Rattus norvegicus: one gene and its partner. The protein of the gene in region 2 purifies or fractionates together with the protein of the main gene of each other region. This does not show direct contact. Links are inferred from orthologs where the notes say so. Each region holds a gene or a part of one and is shown on either strand. Other genes may lie near its edges.

What was found. Proteins that work in one complex are often made in the same cells at the same time.
Region 1: the proteins of Snrnp200 (region 2) and Snrnp70 fractionate together in Homo sapiens (co-fractionation; 3 studies listed by BioGRID, with this or other methods). This does not show direct contact. The link is inferred for Rattus norvegicus from reciprocal best matches to the Homo sapiens genes SNRNP200 and SNRNP70.

What each region holds. Positions count from the first base shown.
Region 1 is NC_086019.1:105,009,954-105,014,775, reverse strand, and holds the start of Snrnp70 (U1 small nuclear ribonucleoprotein 70 kDa), read left to right. Parts: upstream 1-1,924; 5' UTR 1,925-2,108; intron 2,109-2,197; exon of another isoform or gene 2,198-2,519; intron 2,520-2,785; 5' UTR 2,786-2,795; coding exon 2,796-2,942; intron 2,943-4,822. UniProt on the Homo sapiens protein: Component of the spliceosomal U1 snRNP, which is essential for recognition of the pre-mRNA 5' splice-site and the subsequent assembly of the spliceosome. SNRNP70 binds to the loop I region of U1-snRNA.
Region 2 is NC_086021.1:134,891,771-134,895,844, reverse strand, and holds part of Snrnp200 (U5 small nuclear ribonucleoprotein 200 kDa helicase), read right to left. Parts: coding exon 4,019-4,074; intron 3,714-4,018; coding exon 3,576-3,713; intron 3,275-3,575; coding exon 3,119-3,274; intron 2,638-3,118; coding exon 2,467-2,637; intron 439-2,466; coding exon 245-438; intron 57-244; coding exon 1-56. UniProt on the Homo sapiens protein: Catalyzes the ATP-dependent unwinding of U4/U6 RNA duplices, an essential step in the assembly of a catalytically active spliceosome. Plays a role in pre-mRNA splicing as a core component of precatalytic, catalytic and postcatalytic spliceosomal complexes.

The sequences.
Region 1 (4,822 bases), on a different chromosome or scaffold from region 2:
CTTACCCCTGGGGGGACCAGCCAGGGGAGGGGAGTTGAGGGAGTGGGAGAGAAAGGCAGAGAAAGGGGGGGGAGAGAGAGAGAGAGAGAGAGAGAGAGAGAGAGGGAGAGAGAGAGAGGGAGAGGGAGGAATGGAGTAGAGGCCACCATGAGCACGTGCAGAGAAGGGGGAAGGGGGACGGGGGAGAGAACAGGAGGGAGAAGACAGCAGGAGCAAGAAGACAAGAAAGAGTGAGGAGGGGGCAAGCAGCCCCTTTTACAGTGAGTCAGGCACACCTGCTGTTGCCAGGTAACTGTGGGGCAGAGCCTAGACAAAATGCCAACACATCTTTCACTGCATAAGGTGTTCAATACCATCTTGGGTTGCTGGGTTACCCTTGTAACTGTGTGTGTGTGTTTGAATTTGGTCTCTCTATCATGTAGATAAAGATCTACATCTAGACCTGGAACTCCATATGTAGCCCAGGCTGGCCTCAAATTCCAGAGATCCACCTGCTTCTGCCTCCAAAATGCTGGGACTAAAGTTGTGTACAGCCAAGCACTGCATGTTGGAGTGGGTGGAGGCCAGAGGTCAACCCCACCAGGTTTTTGGTTTTCCTCAGTCACTGTTCACCGTAATTATCCAGACAGTACCTTTCACTACACCTGGAATTGGCAACTGAGCCCTGGAATCCTCCCCTCTCCACCTCAGTGCTGGGGCTTTTTCCTGGGTGCAGAGGTGTGTGGGTGTGGAACTCGGGTCTTCATGCCTGTGCAGCAAGCACCTAAATAAGCTATCTCCCCAGCTCTTTTCCTTGTTTTCTTGAGAGCGGCTTCTCTGTAGCACAGGCTAGCCTTTAAACTACAAACCCTGGGTAGTTGCAAGCTGTAAACCCAGCACATAGACAGCTGAGTCAGGGGGATTGCCAAGAGCTGAAGGTCAGGGTGACTGCAGAGAATTGAATTCAGGACCTCTGGATGGAGCAGTCAGTTGTGTTTAACTGCTGAGTCATCGCTCCAGATCCGTCATTGCCTCAAATGAAGAAAGAAACAGAAGAAGGAAGGAGGGAAGAAAGAAAGAAGAAAATGGAGAAGGAGAAGATGTAGAAGAAAAAACCTGGAATTGTGTGTTTTGTGCCTTGGTCCCAGCACTGAGGAGGCAAGAGGTAGGTGGGTGAGTTTGAGGCCAGCCTAGTCTACACAGTGAGTTCCAGGGCAGCCAGGGCTACACGGAGAAACCCTGTGTCGAAAAACAAAAACCAAAAACAAACACAAGAACACCCATCAAGAAAATATATATACACATATTATCGCGTATGTATGTATATATAAACATATATAGATAAATAACACACACTGATACAAAATGCAAAATCATCTTGGGTTATATGGTGAAACCTTGTCTGAAAAAAAAAAACAGAACACATTAAAAAGGAAAAAAAATACCAAACGGATGGATCTTTTCTCTCAACAATGTGAACTCCAGGAAGGAGAAGAGTATTTTGTCATGATCTGCGTCCCCCAGACCAAATAGTGGCTAGCACATACGAGAAATTTGGGAAAGAGTTCTCTCTTAAATAACATAACTGCAAAGACCCTGTTCAGGTACGCACTCTTTGACAGACTGCGGAAGGATATGTGCACGTGCATTACCTAGACGCATGCGTCGAAGGTCCGGGAAGTGTAAGGAAAAAGGGTGGAACATCTGTAAGTGTCTCGCGGTCATAGGCGGTTAGCTAGAGCGCGAGGTTGAGACTGACTTAGGTCCGATAACGCATGCGTAATAAGGTCGCTGGGCCGCGGAAGCTTAGGCATTTAAGGCGGCCTATAGCTTTTGCGCGTGCGCAGTGCCCGCGGTGTGGCCGGACTTGTGTGAGGGTTTCTTTCGGTTCCTATAACACATGCGCAGTGAGAAAGGCGGAGGGATTCGAGTCGCATTCACTCCCGGTTCTGATCGCGAGCTGAGGCCGCGCGGGTTGCGAGGAGAGGCCTGGTTTGCGCGCGCTGCGCGGACCACAGTGGATACCTGACGCGGGCACCGCCGAAGTGGAAGCCAGAGCGGGAGTTTTTGTTTGTGAACGGCGGCCGCGAGGCCTGAGACTAACGTCAGGCCGAGAAGAGCGCCGCGCGGTGAGTGAGTGGGTGAATGAGTGGCCTTAACGGGGTGTGGGGCCGCTACCCACAAACCCTTGCGGGGCCCCGAACCCTTTCCCCGGGGCTGTGGCCCGCTTCCCGGGTCAGTGCCTTAGACTTTACCCCCTGCGTTCCCCATCCTTTACCCAGAGTTCTCTGGGCACTCAGGCTCTCTTTCCCTCAGAGTCCCCCCTCCCCCAATCTCCTGCGGTCCCCTACCCACAGGCCCTTGCGGTTTGTGTGTTGCTTTTTTTCCTCGCCTTTTTTTTTTTTTTTGGTCGCATCCTGGACCTCTACCCATAATTCCTTTCGTCTCTGGCATCCTAGATATTTTACGCAGAGGCCCCCTGGCTTACGGGATATTATCCTTATGGCCTACCTTGAAACCCCTACTTCGTAATCTTGAAGGTATGAAGCGAGCAACCTCTAGAGCTCGAGGCTTCAGGATCCCTGGGCCCCACACCTCCTGACTCCTTTTCCTCTTTGTTTTCTGTGTTATTAGCCTTTCCTTTTTTTAGCTCCTGCCAAGGCCTTTTTTCAGGCAGGGGATAGCAGCATCCAGGAAATCTCACGCCTGTTTTGTTTGTTTTGTTTTGTTTTGTTTTTTGAGTGGAGGGGTCCTAGAAGAAACCTGTTCTAAATAAAGATTGCTAACATAACGTTTCTGGTCTTAGATTTGGGAAGATGACACAGTTTCTGCCTCCCAACCTTCTGGCCCTTTTTGCACCCCGAGACCCCATCCCATACCTGCCACCCCTGGAAAAGCTGCCACATGAAAAACACCATAACCAACCTTACTGTGGCATTGCACCATATATCCGAGAGTTTGAGGTGAGCACATTGGGAGTGTTCGGCTTCTGGGTGGGGGCGGGCTACCTTGAGGCATTCAGCTTCAAAACCTTTTTAGTTGTGTGGTGCGTGCGTGTGACTTGTACTGTTTCTTATATTGTTTCGTGCTTTTGTGTGCGTTTTAATTTTTTTTAAAGATTTATTAATTTTGTGTATATGAGTACATTGTCACTGTCTTCAGATACACCAGAAGAGGGCATCAGATCCCATTACAGATGATTGTGAGCCACCATGTGGTTGCTGGGATTTTAACTCAGGACCTCTGGAAGAGCAGTCAGTGCTCTTAACTGCTGAGCCATCTCTCCAGCCCGCGTTTTAATTTTTTTATTACACTTTTGTATATGTGTGGGTGTGTATGTGCAAACCGGTGAACATCAGAGGACAACTTGCAAGAGCCCATTCTCTCCACCTTGTGTGTCCAGGAGCTGAGGTTTTCAGACTTGATGGCAAGAGCTTTAACCTGAAGAACTATCATCTTTTGGTTGAGTTTTGAGACAGGATTTTGCTGTGTGTGTGTGTGTGTGTGTGTGTGTGTGTGTGTGTGTGTGTGTGTAGAGCTCAGTGTGGCCTTGACCTTATAGCAGTCCTCTTCCTCAGTCTTGTAAATGCTGCAGGTATTGCTTCCAGGAGTGGTTCATTTCCTCACAGAGTTAATATCTTTTGTATGGATATGGTAGTCCCTTGCCCAAGTTTATTGGCTAGATTGGTTACATTGGCAAGTGTATCTCCACCCTGTCTGGGTTGTTGTTTTGTCCTGCGGGAGGGGAGTTGGGGGTGGGGTGGGGGAGTGGTTACAGTCTTTCGTGGAGTCTTGGCTGGTCTTGTAGATTTCCCTTTGTCACTAAGGCCAGCCTTGAACTTACGCTTACTCTGCTCAAAGAGCCAGAGTTCTAGGTCTCTACCACTAACCCAGAAAACATCATATGTAATGCATTAGGTTAGCTTTAGCTTTAGCAAGAGGTAGCAGTAAGATGAAACCAGTGGAGAGCTGAGTCACAGAATGTCTGTTAAAGGATTTGGGATAAGGCAGTAAATGTCTGTGTTTGTCATTAAGAGGACAGGGTTGCATACACGACATGACTTAGCAGTGAAAAGTGATTGTTGCCAAGAAATCTGAGTTCTGGTCCTAGAATCCACAATGAAGGAGAGGATATGCTTTAGCATGTTGTCCTCTGATCTCTACATGCACAGTGATACATATACATCCTCATCTAAATAAACAAATGTAAAAATAAAGTGGTTTTTAAAGAGGATAGTGTTTGCTGGGGCTGAGCAGTGCGTCCTGCAGTGCTTGAGGCTAGGAGCTAGGGGTTGGCTCTGTACTTGCTGAGTACATATGAGTCACTTGAGCTCCTTGGAGTCAGTTCTCTTATGCAGAAAGTTTGTCATGCCCACCTTCAGAGCAGACCTAAGAAACACTGCCATATAGCCAGATGTCTCAGGAAGAACATTCTGACATTAAGTAGGAAAAGTAGAATTTACTAGATAACAGAAAGGTGATTCTTCAGTAATATTTGTCTACATGCCACTTGAGAAATGTTATTATCCAATAAACATTTACTTTAATGGGTACAGCTCAGTGGCACCCTTTTTGCAGATCATGTGCCAATTAGCATTTAATGAGAGCCTGGAGAGGATTTTATGACTTGCCATGGTGTTACAGATCGTCTTGCTTTGGAGGTCTGCCCTGCCCACCATCCTTTCAGACATATTTCTAACATTTGGCCCTCTGTGACAGGGTTCTTGGCTATGGGAAGGAACTAGGTAGCTTTGGTACTGTACCTTACAACCATGTTACCTATATCATGACAAATGTCAAATGTCTACAGGCATTTAGATTGATGTTCTTTTGTCCTGAGCTT
Region 2 (4,074 bases):
TAGCTTTTTTCTCTGTGATGCCCACATATGTTTGTTCCAGAGGCACTGGGCGGAAGCTAGAAGTTCAACAGTTATACAAATGAGATTTCTGCAGAGAACACTGTGGAGAAAGTTACTTTCCATTGAAACAATAATACTTTCTAAAATACACACAAGAACCGTAAAACTCATTAGTGTGCTCCTTAGAGAAGGGTAATGGACAGGAAGACTGCCTTGGTAACAAGTTTCCAGTTTCTTTTTATACCTGTTGTCAAAGTAGAAGAGGCCCTTAGCAGGGTCGACGCGCAGAAAGGTGGCCACATCTTCATAGTTGGGGAGGGTAGCGCTGAGACCAATGAGTCGGACATCTTCTTGGGTCATCTCAATGTTTCGGATGGCCCTGGCCACCAAAGCTTCTAAGACAGGACCTCTGTCATCATGTAGAAGATGGATCTCATCCTAAGGAACAGAAAGATGGGGGTTGGGGATTTAGCTCAGCGGTAGAGCGCTTGCCTAGCGAGCGCAAGGCCCTGGGTTCGGTCCCCAGCTCCGGAAAAAAAGAAAAAAAAAGAAAGGAACAGAAAGATGCAAACTGTACCTCCTCCCCCCCTGAGACTAGTCCACGGTACACGTATACATCTTAAGATGCCTAATGAGGACAAGAGAGGGAGTCTTAAGCCAGAGACCTGAAGAACAAAGCAGCTTTTAGTAGGAATTTACACTGAGTGCAGACTGCTTAGCACTTGTGCATGAATCCTCCACTCTACCACAAATCTCCTTACAAATACATGACGGCTCTGACCGGTTCTCCCAGGTTCATGACACAGCTAGAGTGCCAAACCGTCCCTCTGGGCAGGTTTCTTCATCAAGATCAAAAACTACCAGGCTTTACTGACAATAAGTTTACAGTGCCAACAGCAGTGCCTCTGAGATACAGTAAGCACTGAAGATCTGGAGACACTGTAAAAGTGAAGATGGAATTCAAAGGTGTAGGCAGGCCAGGGACTCAGCACCCCTAGGAGCAGTTGTGGGAGAGACATGAAGTACCATAAAAAGGAGGTTGGCAAACTTCTCTTAAAGTTCTGAACATCTGGTGTTGCACCTGCAATACTGTAGGCTCATGAGCCATGTAACCCTTGCCACAAATACTCAATTCTGCCACAGCCACAGCAAGACAAAAATAGCTATAAAAAGTACACAAACCAATGTACATAACTGTGTTCAATAAAACAAAAACTTAAGGCCACAGTTTTCCCAACTTCCACTTTGAACACAGAACATGAACTCCTTTCTTAGACACCTTAACGCATCAACCCTCAGAAGCTAGTGACAGCTCAAAGGGCAAAGCACTTTTTATTACCAACCCTGATGGCTTGAGCTTGACTCACAGAACATGCATGGTGGAAGGGGAATTGACTTTCACAAGTTTTCCTCTGCCCTCCACATACACACACACTATGCAAATCACAGAAAATAAACAAATGCAATTAATGAAAAACAACAACAACAACAACAACAACAACAAAACAGACTCAACCCTCAGCTCAAAGTCCAATCCCTGTGGATACTTCCACATAACCGAATGCAAAGTCCCACTTCCTACCTGTCCTTTGTGACAATGGATTATTTATAAAGAAACATTTCAATGTTCTTGGAGGACAGAATTATTTTTGTGTTCCCATTTGATTCAAAATATTTCATATTCTATAGAACAAGTTCTAAGATAGCCGGGAAATACATAAGTCTTTCCCAAAAAGCCAAATTAAAAAAAAAAAAAGCTATAAAGAGGATGAGGCACATGGCAAACACCAGGCATGACTGGGCAGCCTTTGTTACATGCAGATTCAGGTTTTAATGGCAACAATGAAGCTCACAATGACTCTTGCAAAGAAAGTCATATAGAAGGGCCTTAAGGAAAGCTGGGCATGGGAACCTCATCTAGTGCTTTAATCCAGCACTTGGGAGGCAGAGGCATGTGGCTCTCTGTGAGTTCGAGGCCAGCCTGGTCTACAAAGACAATTCCAGGACGGCCATGGCTACAGAGAAACCCTGTCTCAAACAAGAAAACTAAAAACCAAACCACCCCACCACCCCCCACCTCCCTTGTTATAATACAGTCCAAGAATAGTTGTGTGACAGTTCTGAGTGCGCCAGAGTGTTATGATCATTGTTCCTGGAACATGTTTCCATGCTCCTCCCAGGTATAGTGGATAGAAATGAGTTTATATTACTATTGTTATTCATATGCTTCTATGGTAAAACATGGTTTTGCCATGTGTGGCCTTGTCCTTATAACTGAACACCTTACTCATGTGATTCTTCTTAATCCTCACAGTATAAATTGCCCGATGCTCTGGAATACAGCTGGCTACTTTAGTCTGTCTCATGTTTAGGCCCCGCTCCCCCAGGTTCACACCACCAACTAGAGTGACCGCCAAGCGCTCCTAACCACATTGTTCTCTCCTTCCCACGTCTCTCCCCACTCACCAAGACAATGAGCCGCACCAGCTGGGTGTAGGTGCGCTCCCCGCCCTTGCGTGTGATGATGTCCCACTTCTCAGGGGTGCAGACAATGATCTGTGTGGCACTGATTTCTTCCTTGCATAGTTGATGATCCCCAGTCAGCTCAGCAACAGTAATGCCATATGTGGCCAGGCGCTGGGGAAAGAAAGGATCACCAGCAAAAATGAGTGACAGGGCTGGAGGTGCGGCTCAGTGGAGGGAGCTTGCCTAAGGTCTAAGAATGGGGGACGGTGCCTGAAGGGCCTGGTGGCCGTTACTGTGCTGTAGACAAGGAGACGTTACATATCTGGTGAGTCAGGAAAGATGAACAAACGTTACTTAAATTCCACGCGGCTAGATGAGGCAAAGACTATGAAAGCCCTACGTACAGCAGGAAAGTGGACACACATAGGAAAGTGGAACTAGAGCAACAACCCACAAGCTATCAACCACATTCATTTGACAGAAATACCGTAAGATGCAGCGACACCATTTTTGTTTAAGAAATTACGTGGGTCAAATTCTACCTTGGAAATGGCAAAAAATATCTTGAGATTCCCTCACAAAAGCAGCGGTAATGCATAGGCCCCTCCCTACCACATGGAAGCTGCAGCAGGATCCTCTGGAGAAGACTCACCTTTCCAAAGCTGCCCACCATCTCCTGTACCAGGGACCGCATAGGAGCTATGTAGATGATCTTGAAGTCATCCACGTTGATAGTGCCATCCATGTTGATGTGTTTTCCTATCTCTCGGAGCATACACATCAGAGCCACATTGGTCTTGCCGGCACCCTACAGAGGGGTCAGTGACAAAAACTGTTTATCTGCTAGGGATATCACCAAAACAGAACTGACCCCAGGACTGCCCATGTAACACTGACCCAGTGGGTTGTTACAGAACAGAGAATCCCAGCACTTGGGAGGCAGAGGCAGGCAGATCTCTTGAGTTTAAGGGTTATTGTGATTTCCAGGACAGCCAAGGCTACATAGAGACTCTGACTCAACCAAAAAAGGTAAGGCCTAGTATAAAGATTAGGATTCAACTTGCCACCAAATCACTGCAGGAGAAAAAAGGAGACAGGCCAGTACTCACAGTAGGAGCACACAGCAGCAGATTCTCATCTGTCTCCAGGGCAGCACGGTAGAGTTTACTCTGGATCCGGTTCAGCGTTTTGAAGCCCTCAAATCCTGCCTGGGCATACTTTGGCAGCTTCTCCACTGGGAGCAGTTGCTAAGGGAAGAAACATCCCATACTTTATGCAACTGGATTCTTCAGCAGGTTGCCCATCCTTATAAGATTACTATGATTTCACTTTGATTTCCCCATGACTTCATTCCCTGACAATCACCATTCATAATTCTCCATTATAAACCTGTCCAGAGAGATCATTATTGCTTCCTGGTCTTAGAATGGGAAAACTTTGAAACAGTTACCACTACTAGAATAAATTATCTGAGACATGGTGACATTTTAGCTAATGACTAAAAGCCAAACTGAAAGAGAGAAGCAGAGAAAGGAAAAGGTGATTCACTCACTTCTTCTGAGCCAAAGGGCTTGGGCTTCAAAGCAGGCACGTGCACCTCTTCATAGC